3 linked regions of the Tamandua tetradactyla genome follow. The protein of the gene in region 1 interacts with the protein of each later gene in a pairwise test. Links are inferred from orthologs where the notes say so. Each region holds a gene or a part of one and is shown on either strand. Other genes may lie near its edges.

Region 1 (7,513 bases):
GTGTTTTGTTTTTTTGCATGGGCAGGCACCAGAATCAAACCTGGGTCTCCAGCATGGCAGGCAAGAACTCTGCCTGAGAAGCCACCATGGCCCGCCCAACACCCCTCAATATTGACATTCCATTGTTCTTCCTCATGCAAAAACATTATTTAATTTTTACATTTAGCCACTGTCATTGTACATTCTAAGCATTCCTAGATTATACCACCTCAGTCTTTATTGTCTATCTTTCCTTCTGCAAACCCTTGATCTTGAGGCTTGCTTTTATGAAGCCTATTTCTGTAGTGGAGAAACTAAATCTACCTATGGTTATGCCTTAGAGTTACTTCCAGAAAACCTCTTTTGTTGCTCAGATGTGGCCTCTCTTTCTTTCTCTAAGCCCAACTCTGTAATGGAAAATTATTACCTTCCCCCCTCCATGACACCCAGTGGTCAAAGCTTCCCTGGGAATGTGGGACATGACTCCTAGGGATGAGCCTGGCCCTGGCATTGTAGGATTGACAATGCCTTCCTGACCAAAAGGGGGGAAAAATGTTACAAAATAAGATAATAGTATATAAGAAAGTTCAAATATAGTTGAGAAGCTATTCTGGAGGCTACTCTTATGCTACCTTTAGCTAGAAATTGCTAATTAGCAGGGTTTGCCAAACCCCAACCAAAACCATTCCTGTTAAACCTAAAGAACACCTAGGGCTTTAGTGGAGATTCTACAAAAGTTTCATACTCTAAGATTATTTTCCAGAAATCTACGACCTCCAGATGGTTTCCTAGGCCAGATAAGTCCTGAAATCCAGAGAGCAGCTTCTCCAATAACAGCAAGTAGTTCCATCTCCCATCCTATATTATTGAAACTCCTTTCCAACATGAAAAAGTTAGAGTAGGCATAGCCCAAATACCCCTAAAGATTGGGAGAAGAATCAGAAGAGAAGAAAGAGTTATAACAAAGAAGATGGAATTTAACAAATGAATTATATACTGATGCTTCTTTCAGTCTCCAGTGTCTTGGAGCAGCTAGGAATAAAACTCTAAAATTGTGGAATTGTAACCCATACCAAACTCTGAAATCTGTTCTTTAGCTACTTGTTACAATGTACTTTGAAATTTATTGTTTTCTGTATCTGTTATATTTCATAATAAAAATATTTTTTAAAAAAAGGAGGTTTGGGTAAGGTAGCCCTGGGTCCATAAAGCCTATTCATAACCCTTCTTTCACACTGCAGAGGCCTTAAGTTCAGAAGACAGTGCTCTACATTTTAACTAAACGTGTCAGCCACTGGAGACGTGAGTGTGTGTGTGTGTGTGTGTGTGTGTGTGTGTGTGTGTGTAGGATATGTCTGTACAGAAGAGACCTGGCTGCTTGCCACCACCCTTCTCAGATAGTTGTGCCCCTCCCACATACACACTGTTAAACTGGAAGGGGCTGCAGAAGCCATCTAAAGATCTAGTCCCTTCCTAGACTGTCAGAGGCTTACATTAGTTCATTAGGTCCACTTGCTTACCTCCTATATGTAGGGTTCTAAGGCCCTGAGCCTAGAGATCCAGAATGATTTGGGCAGTTCAGCTGCCTGTTCTTTACAGCTTGCATGTTGGATCTTCAGTTTCCAAACCACAGAACCATAGGACAATAAAACTGGACAGGACTTAGGGATCTGGACTACACGATCCCTAAAGTGCTGTCCAGTTTTACTGTCCTATGATTCTGTGGTTTGCATTGGATGATTCCTGTTCACATTGCACTGGATGATTAAATGACTGTTCCCAAAGGCTCAGAGCCTCTTCTTTCCTTTCTCCTTCTTGGGTGAGGGAATTCGGGTCATGGTAGACAGGTGCAGAACTCATGGCCAGCACCACAGTCTGCCTTAATCCCGGGAGTGCTGAGCCAAGGCTTCCATCCCAGACTCCCTAATTCAGCCAGCTGTCAGACTGTGGGTCAGGATGGCAGAAGAAGAAGGCAATGTGGATGAGGAAGATGTGTTCCTGGCATTTGCCCATGGTCCAACTCCAACCAGGGGTCCTGTGTGTCGGGCCTTGGACAAGGCTTTATTTATCTTCCTGGCCCTTTTTTTGGCACTGCTGATGCTGGAGGCTGCCTATAAATTGCTGTGGCCACTACCTTGGGCAAAATTTGGGGACTGGCTCCTGGGCACACCTGAGAAGGAGGAGGAGCTGGAATTGTGACCACCTTTCCATAAATATCCTTTTTCTCTGCCACGGAGGTGAGAGGGGAGACAGGAGGGAAATGGGAGTGTAGGGGGCTGCAAAATGGCTACTTGGATAGCTCAGAGCAGTCTTAAAATATTTGCATTACGCTCCCTGAAATAATTTTGAAAGTCAATACTTCCTCACATATTAAACCACCCTTTTGTTTTTATTTTAAAATGCAAATATTTCCAATATGCCAAGAATTACATCCTTGAAACAATTTTAATTTATAATGAAAAATTTTAGCTGCCTATTTAAAGGTATGTGAGGAAATATTAACTTTTTCAAAATTATTGAAATACCATAGCAACTTGAAACCCACAAGCACCCATTAAAAAATACATTAAGAAGTTTTTCTTTAGCAGTTGAGAATCTGCTTTTCCTTTCTTCATTATCTCCTTTTCTCCATGAACTACTATTACCATTCTACTACCCCATTCCCAGATAATTTTATATTTTTATACTTGAAAGTCTCTTATCGATCAACCTATATACTTTAATGCATGTATATATACATTAATTAAAATGAAAAATATTTTTCTTTCTTGTGACTATAAGCTCTAGATGTTGACAATTTTTCTTCTGGGTTGGGTTATTACAATTATTATTAGAATAAAATTGATCAAAGCAACATAAAGATTTTGCAAATTTTTATAATTATTAAAAGTAAAAAAAATACATGTCTAATGGAATAGACAAAGTGGCATTTACAGCTTTGATAAAGGAAATAGGTTACCTGTCTCTTTGAGACAGAGTAATATTACCCCAAGTGATTTCATGATTGAAAGCTATACTTCCTTTTCTTTTGAGGAAGAAAGTGTATTGAAAAGGAGAAGGGATGAAGGGAAACCTCTATTGCAGGGGCTTACTCAGGAAGACTAGTTTTGGGAAAGTTGAGGATTTGGACATTAAACCCTTTAAATCTTCCATTTCTGAATACCCTTTGGGGGGTTTTCAAGTTTCCCATTTTGAAGACTATAGGTTTAAAAAACTGGAGATAAGTAGTATGTGGGATTCTTTAATGGGCGGAGGCTTTAAAGTTCTGGGATTCTGATGGCACGGGGGACGTAAGGACCTCTGCAGTCCTGGAAAGTGGAAAAATGCCCACTTGTGGAATGCGCAAGCATGTAGGTGGGAAGTTCAGAGACTGGGGCGATGTTAACTTAACCAGGAAAAATATCTGGTTTCCCCATAAATTCAACTCTGGACCCCGCCCTGGCTCCATCAGTCTCTCAGGCCTTCCTAACGCCGGGCGAGGTTGGGGCGGGGGTAAGGTGGGTGTCACAGGCGGTTTCTTTTCCTTCGTTCTTTCCTCAGCTCTCCCAGAGGAAAAGGAGACTAGACCCGAGGTTTTTCACAAGCCTCATTTCGTCTCACAACCCTCACAGTGGATTTGCACAGATTCCCCTCAAAGCTGCCGCACCATCGTTCATCCTCAGGCCCTGGGGCTCTTCCACAAAGCACAGCCTCCTGGTCAGCACCGCCCGCGCTTCGGGGACCCCCAAGAGAGGGACGGAGAACCACCAGGTCCCATCTGCTTAATTTCTGTGGAGCTTGAAAAGCAAAGCAACAGCAATAATAACAATAACAATCCTATAGCGCGTTGTGCTCATTTGTATGCTTGTATTATGATCTCACGATTGGGAGATGTAGGCATCTTGATGTAGAAGTAGCTGCTGGACAGCGGCAAGGGAGCGCTCAGCTCTTGGAAGGGGAGGGGCTGGCACGGCTGATTATGCTGTGCACATGGTACCTGGGAGATACGAAAGCAAGGCCGGAAGGCTTAATAGCCTAGCGGAAGGAAAAGGTTTCATTTCCATCTTAAGAGACCCCCATCCCTCCGTGACTCCTGAGCAGCCTTGAAGAACTTAACTCCTTATCCATCCTGTTCCATCCCCGCGTGCCCTCCCCCAGTTGGAAAGGTGGCTTAATCCTCCCTGCACGCTACTCGCTGCCGATTGTGCCCGAGGCAGGAAGTTTCTGATTGGCGGAGTCGCAGAAGCACCGGGTGAAAAGAGATCAGCTGGCCGCGCTGAGCCAGCGCCGTACGGCAAAATGGTAGTTCCCGGGTGCTTTAGGACGCCCTGCAGGGACAAAACCCCGCCCCCTACAGATCACAGGAAAGGGAACCGCAGACAACCTGGGCGGCACTCGGAGGTCCCGGGTGGAAGGCGTACAGTTACTTCCGGCCACAGGAAAACAGGTTTCCGTACGACAAGATGGCCGCCACTAGGTGCATGTAGGCGGAAACTCGGCGGCTTCCGGTCCTGAGTGGGGCCCGCGGTGGGAGGGGGAAGGAAGGCGGAGGGAACCATGCGAGGTTCTGAGATCCGCGGCGAGGGTCGCCTCGAGAGACCGTTTCTGAGGTGGGGGCCGGACGGTGTGGGGAGTGGGGGCGGGGATATCGGGGGACAGGTAGTGGGGAGGCCCGGGCTCTGAACCTGAAGGGCAAGCTGTGGTACCTTCCTATGCTTGAGGGGGAGCGGGGTGGCTAGGAGCTGAACTGGGGGAGGGGGACTTGGCGGGAAGCTCACCCAGGGAAGGACCCGACCCAAGGTTGGGATGAGAGGAATCGGGAGAGCCCAGTGCGGGGCTCACGAGCAGTTACGGGTCACTGAGAGAAAATGGGGGAAATTAGAGTGGGGTGAGAGGAAGGGGATTCGTGGTGAAATATCTCCTGTGGGTTCGAGGGGACCTATTAGAGGTTGAAATATAGAGATAATTCAAGGAGGAGAAAGGGTTGTTGGAAGGGTCCATCTTTTACCTGCAGGGTCTGGGAGTTAGGCTGATAATTCAGGATGGGGTGGAGGTACAGATTTTACGTGTTTGATGGCAAAAGGGGAAAAAACACCTGGGGTGGCGCCGATGGGGGTGTGGTATCAGCAAGGTGGTGTCAAAGAAATCTGGGATCCAGTGTGGGAGGTGGTCCTGGGGCTGGGATGAAGAATCAACTTGCCAACTGTGAGAAAACAGTGGAGAAATGCAAGGAAGAGACCGGAAATCGGCTTGAGGGGTGGAGCTGGGGGTGGGGACTTAAGGTTTGGCGGTGGTTTGGGGCCCCAATAGGTGAAGGACATGAAAAGCATATGAAACTAATGGTTGCTGAAAATAAGCAGTGAGGAGTTGGGCAGGGCTGAGTGTAATTGAAACCCAAGAAGATTGGAAATGTGTGAGATGAAGGGATGGGGCTGTGCTGGAGGGGCTCTTTCTAAGGCCCCATCCCCTTCCAGCAGGATTTCCGAAATCCCCAACACTTCCACCCTCCGGGGGATTTGATCCCCCATGGCCACCGCTAACAGCATCATCGTGCTGGATGATGATGACGAAGATGAAGCAGCTGCTCAGCCAGGTCCCTCCCACCCACCCCCCAGTCTGGCCTCACGCCAGGCAGAAGCCCCTGGCTCCTCCGAGCCCCGTGGGGCTGGAGGAAGCAGTAGTTCGGGCGGCAAGAAATGCTACAAGTTGGAGAATGAGAAGCTGTTTGAAGAGGTGAGCTTTAGGGGAGAAGATTCGTGTATCTCAGGGAGGGGGATGGCTGATTGGCTCATCTGTCCTTTCTTTCCCATTAATCCCACGCTCCCTTTTTTCTCTCAACCCCCTCCCTTGTCTCTTTCCCCTTCCCTCTCTCCCTGTACCCTCCAGTTCCTTGAACTGTGTAAGAAGCAGACGGCGGACCACCCTGAGGTGGTCCCATTCCTCTCTAACCGGCAGCAGCGTGCCCATTCTCTGTTTTTGGCCTCAGCGGAATTCTGCAACATCCTCTCTCGGGTCCTGTCTCGGGCCCAGAGCCGGCCAGCTAAGCTCTATGTCTACATCAATGAGCTCTGCACTGTTCTCAAGGCTCACTCATCCAAGAAGAAGCTGAACCTGGCCCCTGCTACCACCACCTCTGTTGAGCCCTCTGGGGATAACCCTGCCACAAACCCCTCTTCGGAACCCACAAATGCTGAGACCTCTGCCTCTGAGGCCCCAAGGACCCGTGGTTCCCGGCGGCAGATCCAGCGCTTGGAGCAGCTGCTGGCGCTCTATGTGGCAGAGATCCGACGGCTGCAGGAGAAGGAGCTGGATCTCTCAGAACTGGACGACCCGGATTCCACATACCTGCAGGAATCTCGGTTAAAGCGTAAGCTGATCCGCCTCTTTGGGCGCTTATGTGAACTGAAAGACTGCTCTTCACTCACAGGCCGTGTCATAGAGCAGCGCATCCCCTACCGTGGCACCCGCTACCCAGAGGTTAACAGGCGCATTGAGCGGCTCATCAACAAACCAGGGCCTGATACTTTTCCTGACTATGGAGATGTACTAAAGGCCGTAGAGAAGGCAGCTGCTCGCCACAGTCTCGGCCTCCCCCGACAGCAGCTCCAGCTCATGGCTCAGGATGCCTTCCGAGATGTGGGCATCAGGTTACAGGAACGACGTCACCTCGATCTCATCTATAACTTCGGCTGCCATCTCACAGATGACTATAGGCCAGGTAGGAGGTTAGCAGGATGCCTATCAGTGACCCTTATATGTCAGGTGTGTGGCCGAAGGGGCAACTCTCTAGTCCTTCCTTCTAGTGTTTGAGTTTAGTTCTCTGACTTTATATTTTCCCACATAGGCATTGACCCCGCACTGTCAGATCCTGCCCTGGCCCGGCGCCTTCGGGAAAACCGAAGTTTGGCCATGAGCCGGCTAGATGAGGTCATCTCCAAATACGCAATGATGCAAGAAAAGAGCGAGGAGGGTGAGAGACAGAAGAGAAGAGCCCGGCTTCCCCAAGGCGCTTCTTCCCACTCTGCAGACTCCCCCAAACCCTCCTTGGATTCTGGCGAGGTATGGGAGGGACATTCCCTCCAGAGAGGCTATAGCCACCCTTGTACTAGCCACCCAGAAGTCCAGGGTGATTGATGGGGTAAAGTGCAGAAGGAAATCAAAGACTGGAACCTCTGGGGCAAGTGATTCCTTAGAGAAACTCCTTCGTCCCCAGGGCCCTAGTGGAATAGCATCCCAGGAGTGCCCTACCACCTCCAAGGCTGAGACAGATGAGGAAGAAGATGAGGAAAGTGATGAAGAGATGGAAGAAGAGGAAGAAGAGGAGGAGGTTACAGATTCTGAAGAGGAGGATCTGGAACAGATGCAGGAAGGTCAGGGGGATGATGAAGAGGAGGAGGAGGAGGAAACAGGTATGTTAGGGAAACATTCTCGCCAAATGTTAGTTTCCTCTACTCTATTGGCCATAAGCTATCTGTTTGAGACCCTTCCCTTCCTCCTCTTTTCCCCTAGCACCCCCTCAGCAGTATTATTTCACTTAGGTCTCATGTCATTCTTC
Region 2 (6,933 bases), on another chromosome or scaffold:
CTCGCTGGCCCAGCCTCCAGTGTACCCCATTAGGAAATGGGGGTGCTTTTCCTCCTCCCCACCTTAGAGAAGTCACAGCCCTCCAGGCCTCCACCTTCCTCCTTAGTGACAAAGCACTTTTGGAGCCCAAGTCAAATCCCTCAGGACCAGCAGAGTGCTGAGTCATGGTGGGGCAGCAAATTTCCACCACATCCCCCACCACTGGCCTCCTCCAGCTCTAGGACGGGCCAGCTTTCTCCCGATTCAACCCGCCAGGCCCTTTTCCCCTCCCCTACAGCCCCTCCCGCGGCTCCTGGCCCCGGGAGGCAGCTGCCTTGGAGACCAGCCAAACTCCAGCCTCCTAGAAGTCACGCGAAGCAGAGGGGCGGGTGTGTGTGCTCCTGGTCAACAAAGGTCCAAAGACCAGGCTGCAGCTTTGGAAGAATCTAGAGACTTAGAGATGGCAGTTCTGACACCCCTCCCCCCAGTTGGCCCTCCAGGTGGCAAAGCGGCACAAGTGCATGCATGCACGCACGCGCGTACACACACACTCACACAAGATTTCCCTTCCATTCTTCCCAGCCTAGCCAGCCCCCAAGCCACGTTCTACAGTACAAACCGTCCCTCCGTTTTGCTCTGAGGTTCACTGTAGCTGCCTGTGTGTTTAACCAAGCATGGAGCCAATAATGATTCATAAATTCTGCTTTCTAAAATAGGCGCATTTCTCTCCAACTTCATGCTAGCGCTTTCCCTCTGGAAAGCCCCCTGGGGGCTATTCAAACTCAGCACCTCCAGTCCAAAACAAAGCTGGCCATCTCCCATTTCTTCCCGTGCTCCCTGTTTCAGAGAAAGGAACCAGGAAGCCAGCTGTCCGGGCCAGAAACCTAGGGAGCTGTCTGCCCACCCCCATATTAACCCATCAGCCACTTCATCCTGTCCATTGTTTCTTCCCCATGTCTCTCAATCTGTTTTCTGTCCCCTCTGCACACTGAGGGTTAGGGTTGCTGTCTCCCAACTGGTATCTAGCTCTCTCGCCTAACTTTGATCCATCTTCCACGCTCAATCACTCATCCATCCATTCATTCAACAAATACTGAGCATGACTAACAAAGCACCTTGCAAAAGTCCTGGCAGTGCAGCGATGAAGAAGTTAGAAACAGTGTCTGCCCTCAGGGAGCAGGGGAGACCATCAGAGTGGTTACCAAAAGGTGGGATTTATATGTATATGATATATAATTACATTATATATATATATTACATTATGTAACTACATATATATATATTTTGCTTATTGACAGTCATGACTTATACAAGCTACAAATACTGTCAACCCACCTTGTTATTTGTCTATTTAACTTTGCAAGTGGCATCTTTAATTTTACTGGGGTTTTTTTTTTTTTTTTGCATGGGCAGGCATGGGCACTCGAACTCAGGTCTCCAGCATAACAGGCAAGAACTCAGCCTGTTGAGCCACCGTGGCCTGCCCAGTGTTTCATTTTTAAGGAGTCAATCTGCTAAGTTTCCTTTTAAGAAGGCCTCAGAAGAGCACTCCCTACCCCAAAACTATAAAAGATAATCTTCCATATATTTTTCTCACCACCTAAAGGTGGTATAAATGTATAAATAGGTTTTTCTTTAACGTTTGTAATTTTAGTCCATCTGGACCATATTTTTTTTCTTTTGAACCATATTTTTTAGTAGAATGAGTCACTGTTTTCCAGATGACTACCAATTGTTTCAAAATCATTTCCTGAAATCATTCTTTCTCCTCTAATTTGAAATGCCACTTTATCATGTACCATGTTCCCATAAATATGTGGGTGGGACTGTTTTGTTGTGCTGACCTAATCACTGTTTCAATTAAACACTGCTTATAGCACTTTTAGTACTTTTTTGTTATCAGGGAGGGCAAATCTACCTTTAAAGCTTTCTATCCCCAAGTGTTTGTCAGCTATTCTACACATTTTTTACAAATAAACTTTAGAATCAAGTCCCAAGAAGTTTTATGGAAATTGCTTTGAATTTATACGTTTATTTGGGGAAAACCGACATCTTTAAAAAATGAAACCTTTCCATTTGGAAACATGGTGTCTCCATTGCAGCAAGTTGTCTTTTCCTTTCTAGCAGTAATTGTTGACAGTTTTTTTTTCATACAGTCCCTGTTCACTTTATGACAAGGTATTTTAAGCTTTTGTTGTCAATGTAAATGAATTTCTTTTTCCTTTCATCACATTTTCTAAATGGTGGTTCCTGTTATGTAGGAAAGCTTTGCATCCGGTGACTTAACTGGAGTCTTATTCTAATAAATTATCTGTTGATCCATTGTAAGATCTCTAAAAACAAACTACTGCTGTGTCTCCCTGGTTAGAAATCCCTTAGAATCTCCATGTTGAATCCAGGATAAAGTTTAACCCCTTTTTATGGCACACAACTGTCCAGACCTTGCCCTAGATTCCCCTTGCATCATTCTCCAACATGATCTTTACTCTCCAGGCTGACACCCTTTCTGAAGGTTCCCTGGACAGACCATGCATTGCCACACCTTCATACATTCACATATGCTGTTCCCCCTGCTTGGAATTCTCTGGCCCACTTCACCTTCCTTTTAATTAACTTCTCCAAACTCGCGTATCACTTTCGTAGCGGAAGCCTGCATGACCTATCCCTGTTCGGGTAAGGCACCCCTCTTCTGTATTTCACAGCCAGCTTCTGCTTACTTTTTCGTAACTCTGACCCTACTAGAAATTCTTCCTGAGACTAGTTTACGTTCATTTTGAAATGAATAAAGCGCCAAGAGGGAGAAACTGCCATACTTCCATCAGCAAACTTCTTTTAATATTTTAATGGTGTTCCTTGAAAAAACAAAACAAAACAAAAAACAACGCTTTGGAAGCCCAGCTTCCAGTTTTATGTGTGTGAGCATTAAAAGGGTTTTTTAATGGGTCTCCACACACATCGAAGGGGCTGGCCGAGAACAGAGAACCCCCAAACCAGGAGGCTAGGAGGGCAGGAGGCGGGAGTCACGAAGTCGTGCCCACACTGCTTCACAGCTGCGAGCCCCCCACGAGCCCCTCCAGGGTCCCTGGCGCCCGTCCCCCCACCACTCAGGGTCATCAGCTTCTCTTCAAGGACAACCCCAGGGGAGCGGCCCCTCGCGGGGTCTCCTCGACCCCAGGCTCCCGCGAATGGGGCGCCTACGAGGCCGATCCGAGCCGCCTAAGTCTCTTCTCCTTTCTTTTTAAACTCCCGAGTTCTGTGTTTTGAGTTTTAAGCCACCCGCGAATTTCTCACGTCAGGCGGCTCAGCTCCGGGCCTCAGACTCCAGGGCACCAGGACAACGCCCGTCGCGGCCTTTGTTCTCACACTGCACGAGGAGCCATGTTTGCTCTCGGCGACGGGCGGGCGCGAATCCGAACGCCCGCGGCGGGCCCCGCGCCTCCATTCTGCTCCGTAGGGAAGGGAAAGTGCGCCTTTTCCCAACCCAGCCTCTGACGCCCTCGGCCAACGAGGACCCGCTTCTAACCACCGTCCATTTTCCCCTGGGAATCCGGGCAAGCGCCTCGAGGCGCGTGGCAACCGCTTCTCTGAGGCCCGGATTTTGTTCACAGCGTGTCCTTGGCCAAGAGCCTCGGGGTGCCCGTTTGGTACCTCAGCATCCCCCCCAACCCCCCGTCCCGACCACTTGCGAGCCCGGGGCCGATTCCCACCAGTTCCGCGGCCCCGTGGGCCTCCGAGCTCGGGGCTTTGTGGTAGACTCGGCGCCCCTCCCCAGGCCTTCCCTCAAGCCCACTAAGCGCGCGGTGGAGGGGGGGGGGGGGGGAGGCGCCCCTCCCCCAAGCCAGATGGGAGGGGCTCGCGCGCCCACCGGAAGGGGCGGGCCTCAGAGGGGCGAGCGGGCGGTTCTGATTGGCCGGGGCGGGCTTGACGCCGACTACCCGATATAAGACGCGGGCTGAGCAGCCGTCCGCCGCAGACGTCTTCGCGGAGAGTCGCCGTGGTTTCCTGCTTCAACAGTGCTTGAACGGAACCCGGCGCTCGCCTCCTCCCCGTCGGCCGGCCACTCCGAGCAGCTTTCAGCCACCTCTCCAGCGCCGCGCAGCCGCCGCCTCCTCCTCTCCTCAACCGCCCACCATGACGACCACGTCCCCGTCGCAGGTGCGCCAGAACTACAACCAGGACTCAGAGGCCGCCATTAACCGCCAGATCAACCTGGAGCTCTACGCCTCTTACGTCTACCTGTCGATGGTGAGGCCTGGCGAGCGGGCTCGCGGCTGGGTTGGGGGCCGGGCGCGGTCTCCCTGGGGCCCCGCGGGTTGCTGGGCGGGGCGGGGGTGTGGCCACCGCCTCCGCGCGCCCTTGGGAAAATGGAAGCTGCTCCCAGTCTACCCCGGACATGCATTGCGCAGCAATTCTGATTGTGGGCAATTTCGTGCCTTCCGGGTGTCCCAGGGAGCGCTCCCTCCTGGGCTAGAGCCTCCACTGCGCACCTCTCTTTAGGGAGGGGGAGAGTCAAGTGTTCTGAAAATCCCGGGTTTGCAAGACTTGCAGACTGTACATTCAAGCCTGCGGTTAGGAAGGTGATTTTTTTTTGTTGTTGTTCTTCTGCCCTTTTCTCCGCCTGCAGCCGTGTGTGTGGGCCCTCCATTTCTCTGGGTAATGGGGGCGAAGAGCTCAGCTCCCATCCCCCAGGGTATGGCGTCGAGTGGCAACCTTGGGGGCTGGGTGGGAAGTGGTTTATCTCCCGTGGGCGGGCCCCCCCCCCGAGCAGCCATCTCCAGCCCTTTGCTGTGCTTATCTGTAAGTCCCACTTGAATTTAAGCGTATCTCTAGGAATCGCCTGCCTTCGCCGAGTTACTTAACCCGCCCTTGCGGCTCAAGACTTAGTTCTTTTTCCTTTTGCTGCTTGGTTGGAGGGTTATGGAGGCGCATTAATTGAACTGTTAATTCTTGATAAGAGGCCATCAACAGTTAACTAGGAAAGAAATGTTTCCATGCAATAAATCGTCACGTTTTTACTCGTTTTACCAAGTCTTGGTTTTAGGCCCTGTGGTGGGAGTATTGAGCAGAACTGCCTTACATAATTTCAAGTTATCCAAGAACAGACACGTACCAAATGGGATTGGAAACGGGCCTGGATTTCTGTGTGCCATTCAGTTTAAGGAACACTTGAATACAGCAAGGGTCTAAAACTGAAAAATCAAAATGTTGTTTTCTACGGTAATACATTAACATCAGCATTTGCCCACAAGCATCATCTTCCCTGGCCGGTTAATTTTGAAAATCCAGGAATCTACTGTACAGCTGACAAGTTTATGAACTCTTTAGAACACATGCTTTAATGTGGGGTAATTGGGAAGGGAGGGCAAGGAAGGTACTGGCAGTAAGAAATTCTCTTCTGCACCAATAGTCTTTAGGATCCGTTGTGTTGAAGGTAAATTCCTATGATATTCTAAAGGTTCCCCAAAGAAGCAAGCTAAATCAATTTCAGTTTTGTATTTTAGAGTAACAACTCATCACCCTTAGGTGTAGAATTCAGGAGCACACTTGACCGGCATCTCTTTAGGGACTGTCCCCTCTTGATGTGCTTTGAAAGGGAAGCGGTGGCTACCAGACTCATTGCTACTTAATAGCCTGTTAAAGCTACTCCTTTGATAATCCCTAGCCTAATATATACATCTTAATACTTTCAGTCTTACTACTTTGACCGTGATGATGTGGCTTTGAAGAACTTTTCCAAATATTTTCTTCACCAATCTCATGAGGAGAGGGAACATGCTGAGAAACTTATGAAGCTGCAGAACCAACGAGGTGGCCGCATCTTCCTTCAGGATATCAAGGTGAACAAATGATTCTAGAGGCATCATGTGGGCCTCCTAATTAGCTAGCAGTGTTCAGGTGTCAAATCACTTGAAGATTTCCCTTTTAAAATGAGGTTACATTTAATTTTGTCTTTTTGGTGCCTTATTTCTGCCATCTAAACTAAAGTAGGCAAACAGTTATGGGCAAGGATGTTAAATTGAAAACTGGTGTCAGGGAAGCTTGAATGACCCTTTTGGAGAAGTTTGGTCGTTTAGAGCTAGGTGCCTGCTCTGTTGTTGATGGGCTAATCACTGGATGTGGCAGATGTTTGACCTAACCACATCTCATTCAGAAACCAGAACGAGACGACTGGGAGAGCGGGCTGAATGCAATGGAGTGTGCATTACATTTGGAAAAAAGGGTGAATCAGTCACTACTGGAATTGCACAAACTGGCCACTGACAAAAATGACCCCCATGTGAGTGTTGGAAACTGGGGACTAAAGGGGGGAAGAAATAATTTGCCTTAGGGGCTGGAAAGGCTTACCAATAACTTTGTTTCCCATTTTTTTCTAGTTGTGTGACTTCATTGAGACACATTACCTGAATGAGCAGGTGAAATCCATCAAAGAGTTGGGTGACTACGTGACCAACTTGCACAAGATGGGGGCCCCGGATTCTGGCTTGGCAGAGTATCTCTTTGACAAGCACACCCTGGGAAATAGTGATGATGAGAGTTAAGCCTTACGCTGTCTTCCCCAGAGTCACGGGGTGACTTCTGTGGTCACCAGGGCCGTGCATGCATGTTGGGTTTACCTTTGCCTTTTCTATTAAGTTGTATCAACACCCACCAAGTTGTTTCATTTGTACCATTCCTTCAAATAAAGTAATTTGGTACCCAACTGTTGTCTTGGAGATCTTTGAGTTGGCTGGAAATCTGTCTAGGCCATCTTGGCAGTTAAGCACCACAGTTTAGTTTCAGTCATAATAAAATGAAATTCCTCTGAGGATTTATATTTATTAAATTCCTTAGTTTGGGAAAGGTAACAGGTGTAGGTGTTTTGAATTTAAACAAGACACTAAGTACTCCTGAATTTCTGAATTAGGTTTTTGGAATTACTTGTTTTCAGTGGTTCATTCTAATTCACAATTTACG
Region 3 (6,907 bases), on another chromosome or scaffold:
GTGGGCGCCTGACATTCCTCTCTGCAAATTCCGGAGGGAAAAAGAAACTGAAACCGAATCCGAGATGACTGGGGAAAGCGTGAGAAATGGGAGGGGGAGAGAGGGGAAGAGAGAGATTTACGGAAACCAATTAGGGATTATATATTTGAATGTGGTTTAAAGGGGGCAATTTTAGAGTGTGTATCTGTAACTAGAGTAAAAATTAAACACCACTGAACCCTAATGTGAACACACTATAAAAAGTAGAATTATGATCATTGAAGCAAAGGTACCACGCCAATGCAAAGTGTTAATGTGGGGCGGGGAAGAGGGGGAAGTCTGTATTTTCTGCATGGTACTTTTGTAAACCTACAACTTCTCCAAAAATAAATGTATTACTAAAAATAAAATTGTAGAAGGTTACATCCAGGATGTCCTCACTTAGATAAAAACTAAAAACTAAAAATAAATAAATGAATAAATAGAGAAGACCCTTGGGGCACCCTAGGCTGCAAGCCGTAGAGCTTGAGAGTTAGTGTGATTGACCACTACTAATAGGCTTTCCCTCTGCGTGGTGTGTTGTGACAAATGCCTTTGGAAGGAGGCAGGAAACCTTAGGAGGACAGGACCAGGGCTAGGCCTCCCTGAAAGCCCCAGGCAGGCAGAGGGAGCTGGGCACCTCCATGCAATCACATTCAGCGCGTGTTTATTAAGCATTGCTGAGCCCACCGGAGACACCGGGAGAATGCCTACTTGGTAAGACTTTTGGCTCTACTGGGTGGCCTCATGCACCCCCCACCATCCATAACTGCCACCAGGCTAAAGGAGATGCAGCAACAGTGGCCCGAACTCAAGTTCCTGGGAGCCCAGAAGAGATGTGGCCCAGCCTTGGTTAGTGTTCTCAGGACAACTGCATAGGACATCACAGGTGGCCTGAGCAGGACAGTGGGATTTCTCAGGGTGCCTGGATGGAAGGACAGGCCAAGGTAGGAATGGTGTGAACACAGGATTGAGGGTGTGAACTGTGTGCCTCATTCAAGCTGTCGGGAGGATGAGGGGAGAAATTCTCAAAGGGCTCTAGTGTTTGAGATTTATTTGGCAGGAAATCGGTGCTTCTTTGGTAAAGAATGAATCGACAGCAATTCAGGTGGAAGGCTGTGAGCATCTGGGGACAAAGCCTGCCTCTCAACTACAGAATAAGGAGAAAGATGCTGGTTTGGGAGTAAAAACCTGGATTGGGATTTGGGGATTGTAGCACAACCATTTCCTAGCAGCAAGGCCCAGTAGTGACCTAACCTGTCAGGCATCAGTCTCTTGCATGGGAAAAGCAGGTGATGGTATTACCTGCCTCATGGTGGGGGAAGAGATGGGAGAATGTGAGTGGGCTATTGTACAAGGGGCACTTAAACTGTCACATCCTAGGTGGCCAATGCATATCAGCTGAATCACACCCTAAAGCAAGTACAACAACTGAAGTCCAGGGTTAGGATGGGGGTGATGGTGGAGGAAAGGAGTGAGGTGCCAGGGTACAAAATTTAAGGAGGCATTTGCATCAACTCAGAGCAAGGGGCTCCTTAAATTGTGTGCCTTAGGTGCCTCACTTGTTGCAGTGGGTTGAATTGTGTCTGCCAAAAAGATATATTGACATCCTAACCCCTGACACCTGTGAAAGTGACCTTATTTGGACATCAGTTTTTGCAGATGGAATCGAGGTAAGATTAGGGCATACTGGATGAGGGAGGATCCTAAATCCATTGACTGGTGTGTTTATAAGAAAGAGGAGAGGGAAACAGAAACACAGAGGGGATACACAGGGAAGAAGTCCACATGAAGGCAGAGGCAGAGATTGGAGTGATGCAGCTATAAGCCAAGGGTTGCCGAGGAACACCTGGAACCACCAGACGCAGGAAGAAGCAAAGAAGGGTCCTCCCCTCGAAACTTCAAAGGGAGCACAGCCCTGACGACACCTTGATTTCAGACTTCTGGCTTCTACCACTTGTAAGAAAGTACATATCTCTTATATTAAACTGCCCAGTTTGTGGTCCTGTGTTATAGCAGCCCTGGGGAACTAAGACACCTTCCCCTTGTCTTGGCAGAGATGACAGCTCTGGTGCCTCTCAGTTTTCCTTTCTGCCCACAGCGCCCTCCGGACGTCTTCATTCCTGTAGGGAGAGTCTCCTGTGGTTTGAAAAAACAGGGTCATCATTCAGAGTGCAATCGGGGGTCAGAGGCATGCCAGCCCCTTGCCTCGTACTGTTCCCTGTGTTTCAGTTGCACTTGGACACCTTTAGAAAGCCTTGGCCCATTGTGCTCTCTGTCCAGCAGGAAATGGTGTCACACTTCTCCTTGTCGAAGGAGTAGCTGACGTCCAGGGGTGCTGAGTGGCCCGGTGAAGGTTCCATCGCTAATTACTGGCAGAGCTTGGATTCTCCTGCCAGACCACCCTTGGACAGGGTGGCCCAGACCTCAAGGATGGCCCTCGCAGAGCAAGAGGGACTTCAGGCGATGGGGCCATGCTGCGGGTCTTTTCCCTTCTCTTGTGGGCAACTATATTTAATTTGGTTCTGCCCAGCCTTCCCTGACCCCAATACTTGGAGCTGGAGAAGATTCTGGATTCTCAGGGGAGTCTGTGTCAGGGATTCTGAAATGAACTAAGTAGAATGGAGGTTTAGTGCCAGCCCCTACCAAAGGAAAATGTTATTCACCACCCATGAGGCCCATAGTCCAGGCTCAGGGGCCCCCAGGAGGGCCTCCCTGGGTCTGCTTGCCCACTTGAGCCATTTCTGTCCTGGAGCAACCAGGTGAAGTCTTGGAGTAGACAAGGGCTAATGCGAAAGGAGGAAGATGAGAGGGTATGTGCATGGGGTGGGGTGGGATGAGCTAAGGATAGGGGTGCCATTAAAGGATCTTTTCACAGAGAATGTTCCAGAACCCCTGCTGCTTCTGGAATGATCCCACTGAGCCATTAGCAGGAATTTAAGACATCCAATTGTAAATGCATGTGTTCTGGAAGACCAAGCACTAATGGGAACTCCAAGACCAAGGCTGGTTCCAGGGGTCCTGGTTGCACTAACTCCAGGCTATTCAGGCAGCGGTTCAAGTTCAGCACAGAGCTACCATGTGGCCCGCAATCCCGCTCCTGGGTACACACTCCAAAGAGTTGAAAGCAGGGCTTCTAACAGACACTTGTCCACACCACAGCATCATTCACAATAGCCGCAAGGAAGAAACAACCCAAGTGTCCATCAACAGAAGAATGGATAAAAGCAATGTGGCATATACATGCAGTGGAATCTTATTCAGCCTTAAAAATGAATGCAATTCTGATACTTGGAACAACGTGGATGAGCCTTTGGAAACGTTATGCTCAGTGAAATAACACAAAAGGACAAATGTTGTATGATGCTACTCTTATGAAATATCTAGAATAGGCACATTCATAGTGGTATAAAGCAGACAAAGTTTCCAGGGACTGGGGGCCAAAATTTCTGTTTTGGGTGATGAAAAGATTTTAATAAGGGAAAATGTGATGGTAGCCCAACATTGTAGATGTAAGTAATGCCACTGTGTGCAGCACGTAAAAATTACTGAAATGGCAATTTTTATATTATATATATATAAAACAAAAAATTGCTGGGCGGGGCTCCAGAGTTCCTGATTCAGCTGATCTGAACTGGGGGAGAGATTTTGCATTTCCCGCAAGCTCCCAGGGAGGGTGCTGCTGCGGGCCGGGGCCCCGCTTGGCGAACGCCTGTGTTACTGAGCTGAGAGGCGTTCCGGAGGCAGAGCGCGCTGCGGGGTGAGTTTCGTTTGCTGCACCCGGTAGGCAGGCTCAGTGTGGGGAGTTTCGTTTTCTCGCGGCCGGGCCGGGAGGGGGAGGACGGGGCGGGGCCGGCCGCCGCACATAAAGGCGCAGGCGGAGCGAGAACGCGGGTGTCACGGCGACAGCGCGGGGACCGGTGAGTGTCGCGCAGCTCCGGGCCGGGCTTGGGGACCACCGAGAGAGGCGTTTGTCCGGCAGGTTGCAGAATCTCCGCACCCTAGGCATTTCCCGAGGTTAGCAGGTGAGATCTTTACGGACTCTGAAGGTGGGGTCCTGAATCCTAATTCCCGTCCCTGCTCCTTTCTGGGATCAGGGCCTGGACGCCCCGGCCCCATCCCTATCGCACCCCCAGGGACGGCGGGGCCTGAGCAGTGCGGACCTGCCCTGGGCGTGAATGGAGAGAGCCCGCTGCCCCTGGGCTCCGTCTCCCCTCCCTGATTTTAGGAGTGAGACAACGACCCCATCCCATCTTCAAGGCACTGTAACTCTTCCCATGGGTTAAGTAAGGATCTGACCAAAGGGTTGGGTTGGGGGGGGGGCGCGGTGGGGGGTGTTGGGTGTGGGAATGGGATGCAGTCATGAGGAAACATGGAGGAATACCTGCTTGGTAAGACTTCGGCCCTTCTGGGCGGCCACATGCATCCCCCACCATTCATAACTGCCCCCAGGCTAAAGGAGATGCTGCCACAGTGGCCCGAGCTCAGGTCCACGAGAGCTAGAAAGAGAGCGGAGCAGGGTGGGCTGATTCCCCTGCAGTCATGTGTGCACACAGAGGGCTGTGCCAAGGGTTTTCTGAGAGGTTTGGGGCTGAGAGCTTAGGGGTTGCCCTAGCTTGACTCCTCCAAGGCCAGAATTGAGAATCCTCTCTGTTCACTCTTACAAGCCAAGGCCCCATCTGGCTGGATGCCGAGTGTAATGAATGAGCAGCAAGCTAGTTTTAATGACTGAGATTGCCAGGTTTCTGCAATCCAAACTGATTTTCAAAGTTGATCCAAGAAAGGCACAAACATTTAAGTTTTAGATAAAACCCACAAGATCTTGCTTTCAGGGAATCTCACTTTCTGAAACAAATGGAGAAAGAAATATGCTAATAAAGCTCTCTTTTAGCTGATCAAGTTGAACCAAGGTCATGTGGGTAGAAAGCTCAGGTGACCCTGTGACATCACCACCCAGTGAGGTCACCTGAGCAGCCCACCTCAGAAGGTATGGCACTCCAGAGAGGCAGATGAAGCAGAGTCTCCAGCAAGGGGCCTGGAACCCCCCTGGCACCAGAAGTGTTTCCAAAGGCATGGAGGGTCTTGGGGAATCAATTTCCAGATTGTCTTTTCCACAAGTACACTTCAAAATTGATTGCTGTTCATGATTGCCCTTTTCCCACCTTACAAGGAAGTGCATCTCTCTGTCCCCTTCCAAACTGAAGAGGTGCTGTCCTGGAGGCAGGTAAACCTCAAAGTGCCACAGAGGGGCAGTTTTAAATTTTGATGTCTGTGATATGTCCTTAAATTGAGGCAGCATAAACTGGAACAGGGCTTCGAGATTTTCCTGATTGATACATACTTCTAAGCATCTTTCTCAGTGGTGGGAATGTCTCTTGGGGACATTCCCCAAGGGACAAAATATTCCCCAAATGAAAAAATACTTTCGTTTATTTGCCTGCGTCTTCTAATTTATATATTTTGCATGATTTCAGGGAGGTTAGGAGAACAGTTCTGCATTTCCATCTGACTAATCAACCTTACATCCTCAAGTAAAAGAAGCGTGTATCAGAGGTAAGTTAGTGCTTTATTTTTTTTAAATTTTTATTAATAAAACCAAACATCCAACATGAACATTCTTAATGTATGAACTTTCCATACTTGGTGTGCAAGCAGTGGCTCACAATATCATCTCATAGTTGTATATTCATCACCATGATCATTTCTAAGAACATTTACATCAGTCCAGAAAAAGAAATAAAAAGAAAAAACTCACATATACCAAACCCCTTGCCGAGGCCTCCCTTTCTCTGACCACTAGTATTTCCCTCTACCCAATTTATTTTAACACTTGTTCACCGTATTATTTATTTTAATTCCTATTTTTTACTCATCTGTCCATACCATAGATAAAAGGAGCATCAGAACAAGGTTTTTACAATCACACAGTCACTTTGTGAAAGCTGCATCATTCATTATACAATCATCTTCAAGAAACATGGCTACTGGAACACAGCTCTACAGTTTCAGGCACTTCCCTCTAGACTCTCTAATACACCTTAAACTAAAAAAGGGGTTATCTATATAATGCGTAAGAATAACCTCCAGGATAACCTCTCAACTCTATTTGAAATCTTTCAGCCACTGACACTTTATTTTGTCTCATTTCTCTCTTCCCCCTTTCAGTTGAGAAGGTTTTCTCAATCTCTTGTTGCTGAGTCCCAGCTCATTCTAGGATTTCTGTCCCACATTGCCAGGAAGGTTTATACCCCTGGGAGTCATGTCCCATGTAGAGAGGCGGAGGGCAGTGAGTTTGCTTGCCATGTTGGCTGAGAGAGAGAGGCCACATCTGAGCAACAAAAGAGGTTCTCTGGGGGCGACTCGTAGGCCTAATTTTAGGTAGGCTTAGCCTATTCTTTGCAGGGATAAGTTTCATATGAACAAACCCCCAGGTTTGTTATAGGGTTCGGCCTATTGATTTGGTTATCCTCACTGCTTGCGAGAATATCAGAGTGCTTTATTTTTTTAATAGGTTTTATTTCAACTCATAGTAGAGACATTTTCACTGACTTTTGTCCAGAGATTATTATATGCTATAAAATGTAACATCTAGAACCTTTAGTCCCAGAAAACTTTTAAAAGTGAATTTAGGGCGGGTCATGGTGGCTCAGCAGGCAGAGTTCTCGCCTGCCATGCTGGAGACCTGGGTTTGATTCCCAGTGCCTGCCCATGCAAAATAAAAATAAAAAGAATTTTAATCTATGCCTACATGATTTTTTTTCAGTGGAAATAAGCATGAACAGGTAGTCAGTTAAATGCTTTCAAGAATGGAATGTATGACATTAAGATACACTTATGTGGGGGAGATGGGATGGAAATATGAATTTGAGGAACAAAAGGAACAGTGAAA

The links.
Region 2: the proteins of DAXX (region 1) and FTH1 interact in binary tests that used the Homo sapiens proteins (3 or more experiments, as listed by UniProt). The link is inferred for Tamandua tetradactyla from reciprocal best matches to the Homo sapiens genes DAXX and FTH1.
Region 3: the proteins of DAXX (region 1) and interferon-induced GTP-binding protein Mx1-like interact in a two-hybrid assay, tested with the Homo sapiens proteins (2 studies listed by BioGRID). The link is inferred for Tamandua tetradactyla from reciprocal best matches to the Homo sapiens genes DAXX and MX1.

The regions. Positions count from the first base shown.
Region 1 is NC_135331.1:89,253,899-89,261,411, reverse strand, and holds the start of DAXX (death domain-associated protein 6), read left to right. Parts: upstream 1-4,462; 5' UTR 4,463-4,568; intron 4,569-4,614; exon of another isoform or gene 4,615-4,660; intron 4,661-5,432; 5' UTR 5,433-5,484; coding exon 5,485-5,691; intron 5,692-5,844; coding exon 5,845-6,676; intron 6,677-6,802; coding exon 6,803-7,017; intron 7,018-7,171; coding exon 7,172-7,367; intron 7,368-7,513. Other genes in the region: SMIM40 (small integral membrane protein 40), read left to right, coding at 1,936-2,178. UniProt on the Homo sapiens protein: Transcription corepressor known to repress transcriptional potential of several sumoylated transcription factors. Down-regulates basal and activated transcription.
Region 2 is NC_135335.1:12,987,296-12,994,228, forward strand, and holds FTH1 (ferritin heavy chain), read left to right. Parts: upstream 1-3,919; 5' UTR 3,920-4,110; coding exon 4,111-4,224; intron 4,225-5,669; coding exon 5,670-5,816; intron 5,817-6,130; coding exon 6,131-6,256; intron 6,257-6,353; coding exon 6,354-6,518; 3' UTR 6,519-6,679; downstream 6,680-6,933. UniProt on the Homo sapiens protein: Stores iron in a soluble, non-toxic, readily available form. Important for iron homeostasis. Has ferroxidase activity. Iron is taken up in the ferrous form and deposited as ferric hydroxides after oxidation. Also plays a role in delivery of iron to cells.
Region 3 is NC_135336.1:98,726,381-98,733,287, forward strand, and holds the start of interferon-induced GTP-binding protein Mx1-like, read left to right. Parts: upstream 1-3,893; 5' UTR 3,894-3,938; exon of another isoform or gene 3,939-4,043; intron 4,044-5,492; 5' UTR 5,493-5,571; intron 5,572-6,907.